Linked DNA regions of Elephas maximus indicus. The protein of the gene in region 2 purifies or fractionates together with the protein of the main gene of each other region. This does not show direct contact. Links are inferred from orthologs where the notes say so. Each region holds a gene or a part of one and is shown on either strand. Other genes may lie near its edges.

What was found.
Region 1: the proteins of NFKBIA (region 2) and E3 ubiquitin-protein ligase TRIM22-like purify together in Homo sapiens (affinity purification with western blotting; 3 studies listed by BioGRID). This does not show direct contact. The link is inferred for Elephas maximus indicus from reciprocal best matches to the Homo sapiens genes NFKBIA and TRIM22.

What each region holds. Positions count from the first base shown.
Region 1 is NC_064825.1:57,934,651-57,944,943, reverse strand, and holds the start of E3 ubiquitin-protein ligase TRIM22-like, read right to left. Parts: upstream 4,487-10,293; 5' UTR 4,381-4,486; exon of another isoform or gene 4,299-4,380; intron 2,694-4,298; 5' UTR 2,625-2,693; coding exon 2,202-2,624; intron 1,415-2,201; coding exon 1,319-1,414; intron 656-1,318; coding exon 425-655; intron 1-424. UniProt on the Homo sapiens protein: Interferon-induced E3 ubiquitin ligase that plays important roles in innate and adaptive immunity.
Region 2 is NC_064828.1:47,725,640-47,735,909, forward strand, and holds NFKBIA (NF-kappa-B inhibitor alpha), read right to left. Parts: upstream 4,004-10,270; 5' UTR 3,879-4,003; coding exon 3,652-3,878; intron 3,007-3,651; coding exon 2,898-3,006; intron 2,567-2,897; coding exon 2,356-2,566; intron 2,060-2,355; coding exon 1,971-2,059; intron 1,855-1,970; coding exon 1,594-1,854; intron 1,245-1,593; coding exon 1,197-1,244; 3' UTR 670-1,196; downstream 1-669. UniProt on the Homo sapiens protein: Inhibits the activity of dimeric NF-kappa-B/REL complexes by trapping REL (RELA/p65 and NFKB1/p50) dimers in the cytoplasm by masking their nuclear localization signals.

The DNA of each region.
Region 1 (10,293 bases), on a different chromosome or scaffold from region 2:
TCTTTGTCCCACAATTATCAAAGAAGTTATGTTTTTATTTTTAAAATTTTCCCAAAATTAATGTGTACGTATTTGCCTGTGACTAAGCCTAGTAAAGAGATGTCTGACAAACACTCAACACTAGGTCACAGATAACAGCAACATATAGAATAAATCTATATGAGGTATGGATACAGTGAAACTCCAGGATCAAATTTTTACACTGCCCTTCATAAATTAACAATAATGGATACTTTCCCTTGCCATTCATACACTGAATTACCCCCATCACACCTGAAATGAATGGCAATGAAGGGACACCACAGGGCCAAAGGAATTTCTTAATGCCACTACCAGGAAGAAAGCCCAGGGACCCAGTAAGGAAGGAAACTTGGTCTCTGTTTTTCCCGAATCTCACATGTAGGAGCTCCATTCCAAGTCTTACTTGCAGCATCTCTACTGATGACCCCTGCATCCGACGCTCCACATCTGAGATGAGCTCGCTCAGTTCCTGGTCCTGCTGGATCAGCTGGTATTTAGCTGCTGCCAGGCTATCCAGAACTTTCACGTCTTCTTCCTCCAGCTTGTGCAGCTCCCTCTTCTTCTCATTGTCCAGGATGGCATGCAAGTCATTAAAACCTGCCAGAATCCTTTGTCTCTCAGCCTGTGTCTGATGCTTTGGAAACAGGGAAGAGAAAGAGGCAGTCAGTTGTCAGTTTGGTTGAGGATCTACTTTGCAAGGTGCTGGGAGCCAGGATAAGAACTATTTTCTTCAGGGAGTTCTCACAAGGAGGGGAGGTGAAAGCCACAGAGCAATTCCAGGGGAAGCTGTTTGTTTCTACAATTTTTTCTTGACCTCGTTCCAAAACAATATCCTCGAGCCTGCTTTATTAAGGTACACTGAGAGCCAAAATGTAATACTTTGATGAGGCTTGAATTGCAGATACCTGTCCGGGACACTCATGCCTATCTATGCATTAAAACACTCTTCCCCAACCCCCATGTTTAATCCCAAAGCTGGGAACCTGGACCTTTGCCCAACATCTTTCCTGCACATATCAGAGCCTCAAACCTGATGAAGGAATGGGACAGAAGATTCATAAGCCATTTTCACAATTGTTTCCCTCATAGTCTTCATCTCCAAATATTTTATTTCACTTGTGATATGTCCACTCTCCAGCCCCCTACCTCCAACAGGGGAGGAATGAAGGACTAATCAAATAGCTTCTGTACTCATTAATTCTAAACGAGCAAAAAGGAAGGAGCCTCTTGTGACTAGAACCCAAGTTGCTGCCCAGATTCATGTCTCAGAACTCCCTCAGGAAGCGTTTCCTCTTACCTTCCAAGAAGCTCTCTCTTCTGTAATCTGAGCTTCCAAATTCTTGGCTTCCAGCTGCTCCTTCCTCAGCCTTATGAGAGTCTCCTGGAGCTTCTCCTGTGAGAACAGAATCACACCACTGCTTTCTCAGCACCTGAACAGAGGATACATTGGTGCAGAAATCAGGCTGATCTCAGAAGAGACCAGAGTTTACAGAAACTGTGAGACTGGCCATTAGAATCTATGACTCAGACAAAAATCTGAGGAGGTGAATGTGTTCTTTATTCCTGAGTAGTGGAAGTCACTATCTCCTCATCGAGAGTAGCCCTGATTCTCCACTGAGTTTATGTTAATGGTGGTGGGATGACTTGGAAAAGGATAGCAAGACCGGTGGCACAACTTAAAGAATGTAATCGCTGTCATTGAATTATACATGAAGAAATTGCTGAGATGGCATGTTTTGTTGTGTATATTTTCAGTTATTTTAAAAAAAAAAAGAGTAATCTGATTCTCTTTTGTCCTAGAGGAAGAATTAATCCTGCAGCAAGGAAAATCCTTTCTTCTCATTGACTTTCTTCCCCACATCTGACCAACCATGTCCTCTAGTAGTTCTTCTGCTCAGAAAGGCAAGAAGAATTTATTTTGGGAAGCAATTCTCTACTCATTCAACAAAAGGAAAACAAAACAAAGCAAAACAAGTTTCTCTTCTCTTGGCTAAGTGTCTGCAGTCTAGGCTAATCTTTTATGTAAATAGAAGACATGCACAGAAATGTCCTCCAGGCCTTGATTAGAGTATGGGAAGCTATCACAGGACTTAATTCTATGGTGAAAAAGTGAGGAAAGAAGAAAGTGGAGATTTCTGAGTGCTACCTTCTTCCCTGTCTTTCTCTACCCTGAGCCGTACCTGACATTTCTTGGCCATCTCCTCCACAAGGAGCGTTTGGTGACCACAGTGCTCCTGAGACCTCACACAAAGCCAGCAGATGGCCTTCTCATCATTTTTACAGAACAACAGAAGTTTTTCTCCATGGTACACACAGAGACCACTTGTTTGCCCCTCCTGTGGGCTCAACTTGGCCTCCCTGAATCTCTTCACTATGTTGGCCAGATGATGATTAGGCCATAGATTCCCAGGCTGGTAGCTGGCATGGCACACAGGACAGCTTTTTTCCCCTCCTGGCCTGATGGTCAGTGACTCCTCATTCTTCGCAGTGATGCAGGCTTGACAAAAGCTATGCCCACAGCCTAGGCTCAGGGGTTCCGTGAGGAGCTCCAGGCAGATGGGGCAGGTCACCTCCTTCTGTATGTCTGCCCGGACTGAAGCCATTTCGCTGCTTTCCTAGCCTCTGCCAGTCCTGGCTCCTGAGTCTCTTCTTGCTCACAAACACCTGCAGGGCTGGGAATGTAAAAGTGGGCACTGTAAGGAATGTAGGGATTAAAAGGATACTGATTGTACAGAGATTTAGGACAGGACAAAATAATATAATGAAGAAACATAAAGAGACAAGAAGAGTAGGACAGTGACAGAATGAAAGGGCTTCTTCTAATAATTTCAAACACTTTACTCTCAGTTTATGTCACATGACAAATTCCACCCTTATCAGGGCAATGATTGCTATTTTCTCTTCCACTGGACAGAAGGGCAAACTGAGGCCCTACAGATCAGGAGCCTTGTGTAACCCACTTGCCTTTTCTTCCTGATCTCAAAACACTGGTTTTATGTTATATACACTAAACCCACCACTACCCCCCGCTCCTTTTGCACTTGCTCTTCTCTCTGCAGGAAGTGATTCAACCCCTGATATGCGTATGATTCATTTTTTTTTTTAAGAGCTTTACTGAATTGTAATTCACATCCCATCCAATGGACTTATTTTAAATGTACAATTCAATTAGTAAATTTATGGAGCTGCATAACCATCACCACAATCCAAAGGTAGAATGTTTCTATCACCAGACACAAAACTGGTGCCAATTAGCAGTTCACTCCCCATTCTGACCTCTGGCCCCAGACAATCATTAATTTCCTTTGCATCTTTATAGATTTAAATTTTATAGAATTTTTGATCAATTCATAAAAATAGAATCATAATATGTGGTCTTTTGCATCTGCTTTCTTTCACTTAGCCTACTGTTTCTGAGGCTCATCCAGCCTGTCTTTCTTTCCTACACCAAAAAACCATGCTCAGGGTTAAAAGCACCAAACCCACAGCTGCCTGTAGGTTTTTGCACTTAGCTTTTCTCTCTTCATGGAATGATCCACCACCCAATACTTGCACAACTCATGTTTATACTTCATTCAACTTTCTCCTCACACGACCTGTGGTGGCTAACTTACACCCACAACCAACCACCACTCATTATACATTTGCCATCGTCCACCACTCATTATACATTTGCCATCGTCCTCTTACTTTCACTATGTAACATATGACACCTTTGGTTCAAGTTGTGCCCCCTCCCCTTAAAAACTTAATCCACTCATAGACCAGGCACTTTAGTTTGCTGGGAAGAGATTTTCTGCTGGCCTCTGACAAAAAAGACTATTCTGGCTCCCTTTGGCTTGGAAAGAAAAGGAAGGAGATGGGTGTGGTTTCAGCCTGGAAAATAATGGTCCCTACAATTTTTTACAAGGAGCCCTTGGTGGCACAGTGATTAAGAAGTATGGGTTGCTTACCAAAAATTTGACAGTTTGAATCTACCAGCTGCTGCTTGGAAACCCTATAGAGCAGTTCTACTCTGTCGTGTAGGGTCACTATGAGTCAGAACTGACTCAATGGCAATGGGAACAGGAAAAAAACAAGCCCCTTTGCTTTTCCAAACCCGTCTTCATTAAAGGCTGCCCATCCCCCAGATTCGACCCCTGCAGGAAGCCAGCAAACTGGCTCTATTTTTTCAATTCAGAGCAGCTTCCAGACCCTAAATCAAGCTCAGCCAAGCATAATCAACCCTTTTCCCTTGAAGTCTCCCAATCTCTGCCCCTACAAACTACCTCACACACCTTCAGGTTCAAGCAGAAAAGCTGTGACTCCATGTGGAAGAATGGAGGCAGGTCAGGGACAGGATGGTCTAGATTTACTCACCAAACCAGGGGCTTAATGCTCACAAAGTAGAGAAATGAAAGTTAAATTATCGAAAACAGGAAGCTGAAGTGAAACTTTAGAGGGAAGCCACTCCCCAGGGGCCTGAAGGAGGGGTTAGACTTTAACACTTTCTGGTACATGGGCAGCTAGGAGCCCAGCTACTACATTTTTTATTCCTATCCGAGCTGTGGGGAAAACCTGGTGGCATAGTGGTTAAGTGCTACAGCTGCTAACCAAAGGGTCGGCAGTTTGAATCCACCAGGAGTTCCTTGGAAACCCTATGGGGCAGTTCTACTCAGTCCTATAGGGTCGCTATGAGTCGGAGTTGACTCTATGGCACTGGGCTTTATCCTAGCTGTACTCTGGCAAAAATATTTGAATAAGAAAAATGTAAATCACAATTATATCATCCCCACAGTTTGCCTGAGAACTCAGAATGTGAATTATTTGTATTCTTAGATATTCTGTATTCAGGCTGTGCAAGTCACTAAGGGTAAAATATTGATCCAGAAAGGCTTGGCACCTGACCACTTATAACACAGTCTCCCGGAGGAGAGAATCAATTAAAAAAAAAAAAAAACTAGGCTATAATATCTATGAATTTTACAAGTCCATCTGTTAATTAACAAGTTTCTGTTCCTTATTTTGGCAGGTTGGAAGAGGAAGCATTTCATAGACTACTAGAGGTTCAATTTAATCTTTGTCATGCAAGCCAGCAACTCATAATGCAGGTAAGGACATAGCAGTTAATAGACGGTGCTATTTAAGTGTAATTTTTCACTGAGTCACACTCACATGTACAAGGCTTTTTTTTTTTTCTTTTCATCCTTAGGAAAAAGTTTGATATGTACACCATCATTCAAAAAATAGAAGTGAATCACTTTACATTGTTTGCACATGTTTTTGTGCCCTGAGTCTACCTTGCTCTTGCTCTGACTGCATACGCCAATGGTGCAGCTACAAGATGGAAGAGGCTCCATAACACGGGTCTCTGACTGACAGGGTGGGACCAGGAATCCTCCCACTTTAACTGACATGAGAGCGATAGAAGGTACTGAGAAATCAATTTTTATAATATTAAAGCATTATAATATTTTGGTATTGTTTATTACCCACAGAAAAACCAGCTAATCCTAGCTTAAAGAATTTTTTGACTCATATCTATGAGTCAGGAACTTATAACCATATTGGAATAATTGCTATAGTTTTATTTTGTATAGGTGAGGTTCATTCTACCAGTTAAGAAACTCATGTTGTTCAAGTGTAGTGATCTTCATCTCAATGTTGTTCAAACTGTTTTTGTTGTTATTGTTGTACTTTAGATGAAGTTTACCGAGAAAATTAGTTTCTCATTAAACAATTAATACACATATTGATTTATGACATTGGTTGCCAACCCTACGATGTGTCCACACTTGCCCCTCTTGACCCTGGGTCCCCCATTACCACATTTCCTGTCCCCTCCTGCCTTCTAGTCCTTGCCCCTGGGCTGGTGTGCCATTTTGGTATTGTTTTATTTTATGAGCCTGTCTAATCTTTGAATGAAGGGTGAACCTCAGAAGTGACTTCATTACTGAGCTAAAAGGGTGTCTGGGGGCCATACTTTAGGGGTTTCTCCAGTCTCTGTCAGGCCAGTGAGTCTGGTCTTTTTTGGGGGCAGGGGCAGGGAGTTAGAATTTTGTTCTACATTTTTCTCCAGCTGTGTCCGGGACCCTGTATTGTGATCCCTGTCAGAGTAGTCAGTGGTGGTAGGGTAGACAAGCACCATCTAGTTTTGTTGGACTCAGTCTAGTGGAGGCTGTGGTGCTTGTGGTCCATTAGTCCTTTGGACTAATCTTTCCCTTGTGTCTTTGGTTTTCTTCTAGAATATAGAACATTTTCTTCATAAACTGTGTTATGCCAATTGAGCTAGATGTTCCCTGAGACCATTAAACCCAAAATTATAGCTGGAGCAAAACATAAACCCAAATTAAAAAAATGTTTTTCTGAATCTCATCCAAAATAAAAAAACCATTATTTTCTTAGCTCTGCTATTTTTCATTCAACAATAATTTTTAAGTTGTAAACAAGACCATTGGACCATTTGTTTGATTTGCATCTGGCACCCATGTATGCCGAATGTTTCTCTGGCATATGGCTGGTAAGGGCACAGTTCATTGATTCAGCAAGCAACGTTGTGCAGTTGCAGCTATAGGCGATGACTGCTGCTACCCAGGATATGATTCACAGGACAGTCAGAGCTCACGGTTTCCACTCCGTGCTTGACCCCTCTCACAGTAATGCAAGCTGTGCCTACCAAGAATGTGAGAAACACTCAGCAGTTGAGAACACTTGCAGTTAGAAATCTGAAGAAGCTGGTTAAACTGCATCGAGTTCTGAACAGAGTTTCATTTGAATGGAAGTTTGCCAAGTGAGCAAACATTTAAATACACATTATTCACATTTTTTAAGTGTGATATTTAAATTCAAGAAATAAAAAATCTCCATCATTGATGGTTCTAACAGGGATCACAATAGAGGGTCCCAGACAGAGTTGGGGAAAAATGTAGAACAAAATTCTAACATACAAAAAAAAAAAAAAAAGAAGACCAGGCTTACTGGTCTGACAGAGACTAGAGAAATCCTGAGAGTATGGCCCCTGTACACCCTTTTAGCTCAGTAATGAAGTCGCTCCTGAGGTTCACCCTTCAGCCAAACGTTAGACAGGCCCCTAAACCAAAGCAAGACTAAAGGTGCACACCAGCCCAGGGGCAAGGACAAGAAGGCAGGAGGGAACAGGAAAGCTGGTAATAGGGAACCCAAGGTCCAGAAGGGAGAGTTTTTGACATGCAATGGGGTTGTTAACCAATATCACAAAATAATATGTGAGCTCTTTAATGAGAAGCTATTTTGTTCTGTAAATCTTCATCTAAAGTAAAATAAAAAAAGAAAAAAATGGTGCATAATTTTTTGATGATTCCATTCTCTTTCTTTTTTAATTGTGCTTTAAGCAAAAGTCTACAATTCACATCAATTTCTCATACAAAAACCTACACACACATGGCTATGTGGCCCTAGTTGCTCTTCCTATAATGTGACAGCACATTCCTCCTCTCCACCCTGTATTTCCCGTGTCCATTTAACCAGCTTCTGTCGCCCTCTTCCTTCTCATCTTGCCTCCGGACAGGAGCTGCCCACATAGTCTCATATATCTACTTGAGCTAAGAAGCACACTCCTCACCAGTGTCATTTTATGTCTTACAGTCCAGTCTAATCTTTGAAGATTGGCTTTGGGAATGGTTTTAGTTTTGGGCTAACAGAGAGTCCTGGGGCCATGTCCTCTGGGGTCCCTCCAATCTCAGTCAGACCATTAAGTCTGGTCTTTTGACTAGAATTTGAGGTTTGCATCCCACTTTTCTCCTGCACCATCAGGGACTCTCTATTATGTTTCCTGTCAGGGCAGTTATTGGTGGTAGCCAGGCACCATCTAGTTCTTCCGGTCTCAGGCTGATGGAGTCTCTGTAGTTTATATGGCCCTTTCTGTCTCTTGGGCTCATATTTTCCTTGTCTCTTTAATGTTCTTCATTCTCCTTTGCTCCAGGTGGGTTGGGAGCAATTGATGTATCTTAGACGGCTGCTTGCTAGCTTTTAAGATCCCAGACACCACTCACCGAAGTCAGATGCAGAACATTTTTCTTAATAAACTTTGTTATGCCTATTGGCCTAAATGTCACCTGAAACCGTGGTCCCCAGACCCCTGCCCCTGCCACTCTGTCCGTCAAAGTGTTTGGTTATATTCAAGAAACTTCTTAGCTTCTGGTTTAGTCCAGTTGTGCTGACCTCTCCTGTATTGTGAGTTGTCCTCCCCTTCACCTAAAATAATTCTTGTCTACTACCTAGTTAGTGGGAAACCCTGGTGGTGTAGAGGTTAATTGCTGCAGCTGCTAACCAAATCCAGTTCAAATGCAGTTCAAATCCACCAGGCACTCCTTGGAAACTCTGTGGAGCAGCTCCACTCTGCCCTATAGGATCGCTATGAGTCGGAATCAAGTTGACAGAGATGGGTTATGAGTTATCTAGTTAGTGAATACTCCTCACCCTCCCTCCCTACCCTTGTAACCATCAAAGAATGTTTTCTTTTGTGTTTAAACTTTTTCTTGAGTTCTTATAATAGTGGTCTCATACAATATTTGTCCTTTTGTGACTAACTTCATTTGCGTAATGCCTTCCAGATTCATCCATGTTATGAGCCGTTTCAGAGATTCATCGTTGTTCTTTATGCTTGCATAGTATTACATTGTGTGAATATAGCATGATTTGTTTATGATGATTCCATTCTTGTATTAAATTTTGATTTAAATGTACTATTGCATATTCTTTGTCCATACAGGTTTAAATTTGGTATTTATATCACAAATCGAAATGTTAACAAGTATCAGTAAATGGTGGAAGGGAAATTAATGTTTCAATTGTGACATGCCATTATTTCACTGAAAGCAATTTGATGGCATCACTATGAAATAAGATTTTTCTTCAAAAGGTGTGGAATAAATTTACAAGTATGTTGTAAAGCGGGGCTTCCAATAAAATAAATCAGCACACCCAAAATTAGTAGTGATCTGGAAAAATGAACATTCTCTTTGAAGGTGGATGTTGCCAGTAGATTGAGTTGGTTAATTCTAGGAATTAATGCTCAGTTTGCACAAGATAGTAAGATACATCTGTTGAGACACTGGGAAAGAATTAAAAGACACAGAGCTCTGTACCTAAAAAACACACTGTATCAAATTTTTAGAGAAGTACATTGATTTACAACAGATTTATTCTGTAATCACGGATAATAGCTCTAATATGATTGAATTTGTTGATTTGCTCAGAAATGATAGTGAAATCAAATGGCAAATTTCAGGCAAAAATGAGTTTCAAAGATTCTGACTTTGTACACTTTGACTTGCAGACATTAACCACTGTAGAGTGAAGTGAAAGCAACACGGTTTATAAGATTATAGTATGGTATTATGGTATAAAGTGTGATGAACACACACTTTGCTTAGTTATTAAATAAGCAATGGAAGATGCTGAGCTGGAAGAATTTTTAAGAGTAGGCTGCAAACTCATTTGGATAATGCATATTCCGACATTGCCTACCAAATTTTCAAAAAATAAGTTAAAGAAACCTGTACCGGATCGCCCAACAAGATGCAACGGTATGAACCCCGTGTTAGAAATATTACCAGGATGCAATATTTTTTGCAATATATTATTGTTAGGTGCTGTAGAATTGGTTCCGACTCATAGCAACCCTATGTACAACAGAAGGAAACAATGCCTGGTCCTGCACCATCCTCACAATTGTTATTATGCTTGAACCCATTGTGGCAGCCACTCTGTCAATCCATCTTGTTAAAGGTCTTCCTCTTTTTTTGCTGACTCTCTACTTTACCAAGCATGGTATCCTTCTCCAGGGACTAGTTCCTCTTGATAACATGTCCAAAGTATATGAGACGTAGTTTTGCCATTCTTATTTCTAAGGAGCATTCTGGTTGTACTTCTTCCAAAGCAGATTTGTTCATTCTTTTGGCAGTCCATGGTATACTCAATATTCTTTGCCAACACCATAATTCAAAGGCATCAGTAATTCTTCGATCTCCCTTATTCTTCAAAGTGTTAGCTGAGAATAATATGAAATATTACTTTTCTAATGATGAGTGGGCATAAGAAATTAATTTTGGAAATTTTAAAACCTTTAAAGAAAAAGATTGCAAAGTGAACAATTAACTGTGAGGGATGTTTTTGGCATGTGGGTGGAAACTAAGCTAAAATTAAGAACTCCTAATAATACATTTGGAAACACATTGACAAATTTAATGTCAAGGAAAAAGTTATTGAAAATGACACCACATTAGGAGCAGATTATCGAGATTCTTGTTATCA
Region 2 (10,270 bases):
CCCTCAGTTACTGCCAGTATTGTAGGTGGGATCTTTTCCAGCTCTATAAAATGTGAATCTAGTATATTTCTCTTTGCCAAAATAATTTAAGTGAGAGGGTCCTGCAACAGCTCAAACCAAGGGAATGAAAGCAAGTGACAGTGGAGAAAACTTCCAGCTACAGGCCAAGCAGCATGCTGCCCCCCCAACCCCAAGCCCGAGACTGGAGTTTCCTATTGCTCTTGCAACAGCCTCCCACGCGCCAGGCTGGGAGGCTGGTGTGTACAGCGTGAGAAGCTACTTTCCGAAAGGGTTACGTAGCTGGCTGTAGGGAGCACTCCCACACCTCCACCTTCACCTGAGGATCAAATGACTCTCAGACTAGGAGCCCGTGCCCTCGGTAAGGAACTATGTATGAGCTTCAGGAGAAAGATGTGGCAGTCTGCTTCTGTGAACCTTTACAGCTTTGTAAACCCTATGGGGAAACCCTGGTGGCATAGTGGTTAAAAGCTATGCCTGCTAATCAAAGGGTCAGCAGTTTGAATCCACCAGGCGCTCCCTGAAAACTCTACGGAGCCGTTCTACTCTATCCTATAGGGTCACTATGGGTTGGAATTGACTCAATGGCAATGGGTTTGGTTTTTTTTTTTGCCTTCTGTAAACGCACAACCCAAAGGAAGTCATCAGGGCAACTCTGTAAAAATCTGTTTAATAAATATACATCTTATAAGTACCAAAATAATTACCAACAAAATACACTATGTACATCATTTACAGGAGGGAGGGCAACACGAACCTTGACAAGCAGCAGTTCAAGGTTTCAATCCCACACTGCCCAAAGTTTAACAACACACCTGGCTGTTACACGTCACAGAATACAACTGGGGTCAGCCACGAAATCCATGGTGGTTCAGTCAAAAATACAATAAATAAAATGTGGTCCTTTTATCAAGTTTTGGATAACCCTCTCCAAAAAATCCCTACAAAGGTGAGGCTTCCTTTGGATTCCACTGATCTTTCTTGTCCCACACACAGAATTCACACAAATTACAAAATGAGGGCTGACCCGTCACAGGAATATGTTTTGAGCCAGGCAGTATGCAGTGTGGCTATCAGTATGCCCTTTACATTTTTTTTTTTCTTTTTTTTTTTTTAGAAAAATAAAACTCTCTTTTTGTACAAATATACAAGTCCATGTTTCTTTAGACACTTTCTGTTCATAACGTCAGGCGCTGGCCTCCAAGCACACAGTCATCATAGGGCAGCTAAAAACAAGAGGAAAAATGGCATGTTAAACTTTGAGAGCTTCATCAAGGACACTGGGATGATGCAGAGAGGTCCCCCTATTGGAAATAACTCAAGTATCCTTGGACTCCATTCTCTATAACCCCAATATAAATTAACTTTACGGGCTCCTTTCCTTATAAAAGGGTAAGCTGTATCGAAAAAGATTGCTCCTGGGATACTGGCCACGAATACTAAGTTTGAGAACTTTACTATGTTGAGACCCTTATGATAAAGAGTAGCTCTTGGGACACAAGAGGGTGAAAGAAGAATAACTATTCTCAGTTTCTGCAGACTGTTGGAGGTTGAAGAAGTTCAGTCAAGACTCACCTCATCCTCTGTGAACTCTGACTCCGTGTCATAGCTCTCCTCATCTTCACTCTCTGGCAGCCTCTGCAGGTTTTCCGGGGTCAGCTGGCCCAGCTGTTGCTGTATCCGGGTGCTTGGGCGGCCCCAGGTGAGCTGGTATGGAGAGTAGCCCTGGTAGGTAACTCTGTTGACATCAGCCCCACACTTCAGTAAGAGTGACACCAGGTCAGGATTCTGCAGGTCCACTGCAAGGTGGAGGGCGGTCCGGCCGTTACAGGGCTCCTGAAACCAAAAGGAATTCAAGATGCTTATGGCTGAGTTTGGATTTCTGCTTGCAACAAGTCTTATTCAGGGTGCTGGTGGCTGGTTCACTCCACCTGGAGGCATGAAGCACTCACCTGAGCATTGACGTCAGCACCCAGGGACACCAAATGCTCCACAATGGCCAGATAGCCATGGATAGAGGCCAAGTGCAGACATGTGTGACCTAGAAGAACAAACAGAAAAAATATGACCACTTGTTTCAATCCTTACACCTCAAGTAGAGTCTTTCACCTATTCTTTTAAGGGACAAACAGGCATGTCTTCTGAATCTGGGTTCTGAATGAACCTTATTTATAAACGCATCATATAGGCAATTTTTCATACATATTTTCTCAGCCTTTCCCATGTTGGAAGTTGAAGCTCTTGCCTGGGCTCCTTAAGTGGGTGAACTGTTGTTGTCTGCCCACCTCCCCCGCTCCACGTCACCTGCCCTCTGGTGGGGCGGGGTGGCCCACTCACCATTGTAGTTGGTGGCCTGCAGGATGGAGTGGAGGTGCTGGGTTGGACGGGTCTGTGTCAGAACTCCTACACTGGCCAGGCAGCCCTGCTCACAGGCAAGGTGTAGGGGGGTATTTCCTCGAAAGTCTCGGAGCTCAGGATCACAGCCAGCTCCCAGAAGAACCTGAGCAATTTCTGGCTGGTTGGTGATCACAGCCAAGTGAAGTGGAGTCTACAAGCAGAAGAAAGAACAGAAAGAGGATAAGCCATGAACCAAACGTGCAATCTGGGCTCCCTTGGACCCCAGACATCTCCTGGTTTGGGCACTGCTCCAGGGGGTGAGGAAAGACCAGAGGCCCTAGGTGGGCCATAAAAGCCTCACCAAATCAATGGGGTTTTCTTTACCCTGTTGGATGCTCATTGGTTTAACTGTAAAAGGCTAGGGCAGATAATGACTGATGACTTAATTTAGAAAGGATTTGGGGGCAACTGTGCCAGAGCCACTTTGTTAATCCAGCTCCACCACAGGGTCAGAAAGGGCACAGGGCTGGCAAGCCGCGCACCTGCTGCAGGTTGTTCTGGAAGTTGAGGAAGGCTAGGTCTCCCTTCACTTGGCGGATCACTTCCATCGTCAGTGCCTTCTCTTCATGGATGATGGCCAAGTGCAGGAACCTGAGGGGAAGAGAGGGAAAAACCCCCAGGGGTGGTGAGTGCACTGCGTGGGGCCCAGGGAGGCGCGGGCTGCGGGGGATTGCGCAAGGCCGGGGTTTCTGTAGGCCGAGGCCGCGGTGTTTTCCGCGAGGTTATTATGAGCTGAGTGTTCCTGGCAGGCGCCCAGGGACTTTCCGGGCCCCCCCTCCCTACTCGGCGGGCGCCGGCCAGACCGCCCCGCCCTCCCGCCAGGCCGGAACGCCCTGTACTTCCCCTCCCGGCCGCGCGGCGCCCGCCAGCGGGACAGAAACTCCCGCCCCCCCTTATGCAACTGGGGACTTCGCCTCCTCACCGCCGCCCCGCCCCCGGCCGGGAGGACCCAGACCCGGCTAGGGGTGTGTGTGGAACTGCCGCTGTAGAGCAGAGCTGCTGAACCGCGGCCCCCAGGGTCTGAGCCCGAATCCCCCGTACCCTGCACGCGCAGACGTGCAGCCTTGCAAGGTTTCAGGGACTGTGCATAATCCCGGGCTCACGGCCGTGCGCTGGCCCTGCTGCACCGCGGGCGCTGGCGGCTCAGGCTGCAGGCCCGGCGCCCCCCCCCGCCCCGCGGCCCCGCGCGTCCAGCGTCCCCCCACCCACCCCGCCGCCTAGCCCCTCGACACTTACGAGTCTCCGTCCTCCGTAAGCTGCTGCTTCCAGGGCTCGGCTCCGCGCGGCGCCTCCTGCGGCTCCAGGCGGATCTCGCGCAGTTCCTTCACCATCTGCTCGTACTCCTCGTCCTTCATGGAGTCCAGGCCGCTGTCGTGGCGGTCGTCCAGCAGCCGCTCCTTCTTGAGCCCGTCCCGAGGGCCGTCCATGGCCCACTCCTGGGGGTGCTCGGCAGGCTGAAACATGGCGCGGTGAAAGCTTCAGACGTTGCTCCCCAGGTGCGCTCGGCCGCGGGCTGCGCGCTTCCTTGTAGTGTCGCTCGCGGGCAGGTCGGCGGGTTAGGACTGTTGTGGGCTCGGCAGCGCCGCCGCGGCGCCCTATAAACGCTGGCCCGGGATTTCTCCGGGGCGGGGTCAAGAGCGGGGAATTTCCAAGCTAGTCAGACCAGAAATGAGAACTGGCCTCGTCCTCTGCTAGGGGGAAAAAGAAGCCTAAACCCTGTGCCGGGGTTCAACAGAGAAACTCCCTGCGATGAGCCACTAGGGTCATGTACAGGGAACTTTTTGATGAGCGCTGAGTGGCTGGAAAGTCCTCCCGACCAAGCCCCCTCCCCCAGGTACTTCCCTGCAGCCAGCACTCAGTAATCCCGGCCCTCTGCAAAAAAAACCTTCTTTCCTTGGGGTTTCCCTCGATCAGCTTGATTTGGGGTCGTCTGAGATCCCAAGGACGCAGACCAGCTGGACGGTTCCTCGTTGGGGTTTGCCAGTCTGCCGGTCCTTTCCGTTTTTTGATCTTTTGAAAACGCAAGAGTGGAAATGATGGCTGGGTATAGGGATTCATTTCCCCAAACTTCTCTCTGCAGGGAAGGTTCTCTTGTCGCTGGCCCCTCTGGGATTCTGCCAATAGTAGGCTCTTTGCAATGCAGGGACATTTAGCTTTCCCAGGTAGAAGTTGTGAAAACTTTGGTGTTAAAAGCCTAAATGCGTGGAGAACCCTCAGATCGTTTCCTCGGGATTAACAGTCTTGTTGACTGGGAAAGTGCTTGCCCCAATAAGTGGGAAAGTGTTAAATATGATCAGAATTATTTCAGGTAGAGCAAGGCGTTAATCTTCATAGCTATCTTGCAATAACGAAGTAACTATTGAGGTCTCTCTCTCTGATTTGCATTGTGTTGCTGCAGAAAATGGACCCGAAAACCTGCTTCTGGGTGCCAGCTGGGTGATTTTCCAGGAGCATTTGGAGAAGGATGCTGAAGAATGGGTTCAACGGTGTCTTACCCAAGATTAGGCCTTAAGGATGGCTAAGAAAGTAACGGTTATGCATCCTGCAGAAGGCCCTAAGACAGCCCTAACACTGCCCCATCCTGCCCCTGCTGGCTCGTACTTGCTGCCCTTGCGCTGAGGGAGGGCAGTGGTTGTACCCATCCACCTTAGTCACTCTAGAGATAAAGGGGTTTGTGCTCAGCATTCATCGATTTCATCTGCAGAAATAGAATTTATGCTTGCTGCCCCCACCCTCACCTCCTAATCAGCAAGCTATGAATTGAATTCATCTACTGCTTTAATTGGATGGAAACCCTGGTGGCGTAATGGTTAAGTGCTATGGCTGCTGACCAAAAGGTCGGCAGTTCGAATCCAACAGGTGATCCTTAGAGTCTCTGTGGGGCAGTTCTACTCTGTCCTATAGGGTTAGAATCCACTTGACGGCAGTGGGTTAATGGGTACTGCTAGAATTGACCCATGCAAAATAAAGCAACTTAGATCAGAGTTCTTCAGATTTAGCGCCAGGAGGCCTCTAGTTTTGCAGAGTTTTCTGGTGATTATTTCAATTATCTTTACCTTCACTGGCTGTGTACTGACCAACCATTCTCCTCTCCCCATCGCCACCTCCCCCATATCTGAATGTGGGGAGTCAGGGTCAATGGGGTGAGAGACTAAGTATGAGGGGGGAAAAAACCCTGAACTAAAATCGTGAAATAAAAGCTTTAAGGTAGCAATTACAACATGTTAAGGTGAAAACTGCATTGTCTGCAGGCATATAATATGCAAATTTGCGATTATTGAGGCATATTACAGGGAGTGTAAGTAGATCTCAGTGCCAGGCTCTGCCTCTAGTTAACTGCATATTGAAATCAGTTAACTCTTCTGTGGTATACTCACTTGGAAAATAGTAAGACTGAATTTAATGTTACTTAAGGTCTTTTCCAGCTTAAAAATTGTATTACTTTGCCACAAACGCATGTCTAACCCTGTTTTGTAAGGGTGACCATGGCTCTTGGAAATATCAAAGTATACATTTTTGGAAGGACTCCAACACTTTATGCATCACATTGTTAGTTCTCAAAACTAGTCTGTAAGATAGACATTGTTCCTAATTTCCTAAAAAGAAACTGAAATGCAGAGTAATTTACCCAGGTGTCCAACGGCAATTTATCAAATTTTTATGCCATTATGTTAACCATTTGGCCAAAGCAGTCATAGTATTGACACTTTGTGCAAACACATTGTGGAAACAGGACTGAATACACTACGATTGGAAGGTACTCCACGTGTTTTCTACTCTGTCAGGTAAAAAACAGAGAGTAGGTGTTATTTCTGTCTGGGGATATTTACTCCTTTAAAAAAGTGCATAGCAATGTTGAACTCTAAATACTCCATTTATAAAGAATACCTTAGTGGAGGATTTTTTTTTTAATTGTGCTTTAAGTGAAAGTTTACAAATCACGTTGGACTCTCATACAAAAATTTATAAACACCTTGCTGTATACTCCTAATTGCTCTCCCCGTAATGAGACAGCACACTCCTTCCCTGTTTTTTTTTTTTTAATTTTTATTGTACTTTAAGTGAAAGTTTACAAATCAAGTCAGTCTCTCACACAAAAACTTATATACACCTTGCTACATACTCCCAATTACCCTCCCCCCCCCCCTTTTTTTTTTAATGAGACAGCCTGCTCTCTCCCTCCACTCTCTCTTTTCATGTCCATTTTGCTAGCTTCGTCGCTATGAGTCGGAATCGACTCGACGGCACTGGGTTTAGTTTTTTGGTTTGCTAACCCCCTCTACCCTCTCATCTCCCCTCCAGGCAGGAGACCTCCTCTATTTCTTTTTGTGTCCATTCGGCCAGGTTCTGACCCTCTCTACCCTTTCATCTCACCTTCAGATAGGAGATGCCAACATAGTCTCGTGTGTCTACTTGATCCAAGAAAGCTCATTCTTCACCAGTATCATTTTCTATCCCATGGTCCAGTCCAATCCCTGCCTGAAGAGTTAGCTTTAGGAATGGTTCCTGTCTTGGGCTAACAGAAGGTCTGGGGATCATGACTTCCGGGGTCCTAGTCTCAGTCAGATGATTAAGTCTGGTCTCTCTTATGAGAATTTGGGTCTGCATCCCACTGCTCTCCTGCTCCCTGGGGAGTTCTCTGTTGTGTTCCCTGTCAGAGCAGTCATCTGTTGTAGCCAGACACCATCTAGTTCTCTGGTCTCAGGCTGATGTAGTCTCTGGTTTATGTGGCCCTTTCTGTCTCTTGGGCTCATAATCACGCCGTGTCTTTGGTGTTCTTCATTCTCCTCTGCTCCCAGTGGGTTGAGACCAATTGATGCATCTTAGATGGCCACTTGCTGGCATCGAAGACCCCAGATGTTAGTGGAGGATTTTTAACTGCAGGTTTAAAAATGATTATTAGAATGAAAATCATGCCTAAGTGAAAATTTTCTCAGGAATAATAGGTTCTCAAAAACCAAACTCATTGCTGTCGAGTTGATTCCGACTCAGTGACCCTATAACGTGATGCGGGTGGTGGTTGTGTGCTGTCAAATCAATTCCATGTACTAGACTAAATTTCTTTGCACCTCCTTCAGGACCGGTGGTTTTTATTCCTGATTGTTTAGAGTGACACCTAGTGGTAAGAGTTAGGCCCAGGAGTTTCCTGATTTGTCGCAGCACTTTTTTACATTTTAGGAGGTACTGGGCCCTGATGACCTGTCTTTACAGTAGGGATTCACAGAAGGTACCTTTTGTTTTCCTGCAGCTCTAGGAAACAGTTTTGAATAATATGATCCAACAGGTTTTCTCCGTATCACAAATCAACAAACATTACAACCTGGAGGAAAAAAGAACACTCTTGGAAATCAGAAAGCATGAGCAGGGGCAGGGGAAGATTAGATTATTTCTCCCCACCTCAATGTCAAACATTTCAGCTAAACTTGACCATTTTAAAGATGTTAAAACCTTAGACAACTAAGTTATAATTTCATTCCCCCCCCCCCTTTTTTAATGCAGAAGGCAAAATAATATATTACACCCTGAAGTTGCTTTGTATTTTAGCCCTGGATGAAGCCGGAAGGAATAACAGGGTGGCAGTGATGCTCCCTGGGCCTCACTGTGAGCAGGAAGGAGCACTCCGGTGGGAAATGAGCACCATTCTGAGCCTCATTGTAGGCAGGAAGGAGCATTTCGATGGGAAAGGAACACACTCTCCTGGGCCTCACTGTGGGCAGGAAAGAGCACTCCAGTGGGAAAGGAGGACCATCCTGAGCCTCACTGTGGGCAGGAAAGAGCACTCCAGTGGGAAAGGAGCAGCATCCCTTCGTGGGCTCTTCCCTTGATGGGAAATGCAGTGGGGACTGAACCCACTGCCCCAAGTGCCTGGTGGCCTGGCATGGTGGAGAGCTTCTGTAAGTTCAGTCAGGTGGTCCTACGTCCTGGACTTTTCTTAACATCATGGGCAGGGTGGTCTGTGCCAATTGCCCGGGCCAATTAAACCTAAATTGTTTTGGTCCCAGCAAATTGAATTGCTGAATTCCGCTTTCTACCACTCAGGGCAGCCAGGCTGGGAGGGAGGAGCCATGGCAGAGTCTCTGAGGGGCAAGCCAGGCAGGAAAACTCCTAATGAGCACTTCAGCTCCATTTTGAAATGCCGAATTGGTATTCTGGTGCCAACCTCATGCTTAGTCCTATTTTTTCTTAGTGTGATTATCAAGCGCCTACATTCCTCTCAGAACCTACAGCACCCAAACTATGGACGTTTCCCCACAGAAAAACAGCTGTCAGGACTTTCATTCAGAGTGAAGATAAGACTGACAAAGGCTGACTGTACTCCCCTTGCTAGAGGTTGTGCAGTTTAACGGAAATTCAATCTTTAAGGGATCTCAATTTCCAACATCTTCCCACCCTTAGGAGCCAGGCAGGTTTCATAGATGAGTGAAGAGACCACGTGAGTCCAAGGGAGTGGTGGTCTCTCTCACAACCTAGACCACGGAGTGCACATCCCTCATGCTCAGCTCAGGTAATTTTTGCTATGCAGGACTTTGAGCTCAGGACTGATATTCCATCATTAAAGAAAAAAAAAATCAGGAAAAAGAATTTTCATGTGAAATTTTCCAATTTTTAAAACATTGTGAAGACCAAAGGAAAAAAAAAAATGCAGTTTTAAAAATCTTTTGGCCAGTTAAAGCCCGCAGGCCCCGAGTTTACAACCTCTTTTTCAGCCAAGGCATGACATCGTAATGGTGCTTTGGGAGAGGGCGCCTACCTTCAGCTCCTGTGGCATCAAGGGGTCTCTGCTTCTCTGCGTTAGCAGAGGCGGGGGCTGGACTGTGTCAATACAGGAAAGTGTAGGTCTGCTCTCTGGAAGGCAACAACAACAACAACAAAACCCTGAAAGAGGTCCCTGGGTAGCATAAATGGTTAAGAGCTCAACTACTATCCCAAAGGTGGGCGCTTTGAAGCCACCCAGAAGTGCCTTGGAAGAAAGGCCTGGCAATCTGCATCCAAACCATCAGAGCCTTGAAAGTCCTATGGAGCACAGTCCTACTCTGCACACACGAGGTTGCCATGAGCCGGAATCACCTCCACAGCAACTGGTAAGCCTTGGAAAGAGTTATCCCTTTGCAAAAGCAATTTTCCGAAACAGTAGAATGTAAACTGAATGTAAGAAGTCTAACAAAATTCTGATTGTTTCCCATGAGGACTACTTAATTTTTTTCTTCAAAAAGTAAATTCTTTCAACAAACATCTTTTAAGGTGTTCCTGCTTTGCTGGTGCCCTAACCACGTGCCCAGTCTGCCTATTGGGTAACCTGGTGCAAGGCAAGGAGGAGACCTGCACGTGTCACTGTTGGCCAAAATTCCTGCCTCTCCCTCTTCACTGTTTGCCAGCAGTAACCACGTGATACTTACAGGTGTGTAGGATTGTTCATGTTCTGTTGTGTTCAGGGAGGAGTAGTTGGATCAGAAAGGCGGCTGAGGCTAAAAAGCATGTTGCTTCTCCTGCATGCCAGTTTATTTGCTATTTTGTCTTGGGTACAGATTCATCCCAAGTTTAGTCAAGGTACAAAGAGACTTGGCACTGGGCAAATTCCAACAAAAGCCTGTGCTCAGCAGAGTATGGAACATAACTGATATGAGGTTCCTGTGCTTGGGCAATATAATGATGTGAGGGGCTAATGACCCCTCTCAGCATCAAGGGCTACATCTAACAACAGAAACAGCATGTGGAAGTTAAAACATTTTTCTCTCCCCTTGTCTACAATTGGGAATATTTTAGGACAAAGGTAAACAGAACCAGAGCTGCTAAAAGATGAGCTTTAGTGTCTAAATAGAGTGAAGATTTAGGAACTTCGATCCTCAGCCCTTTT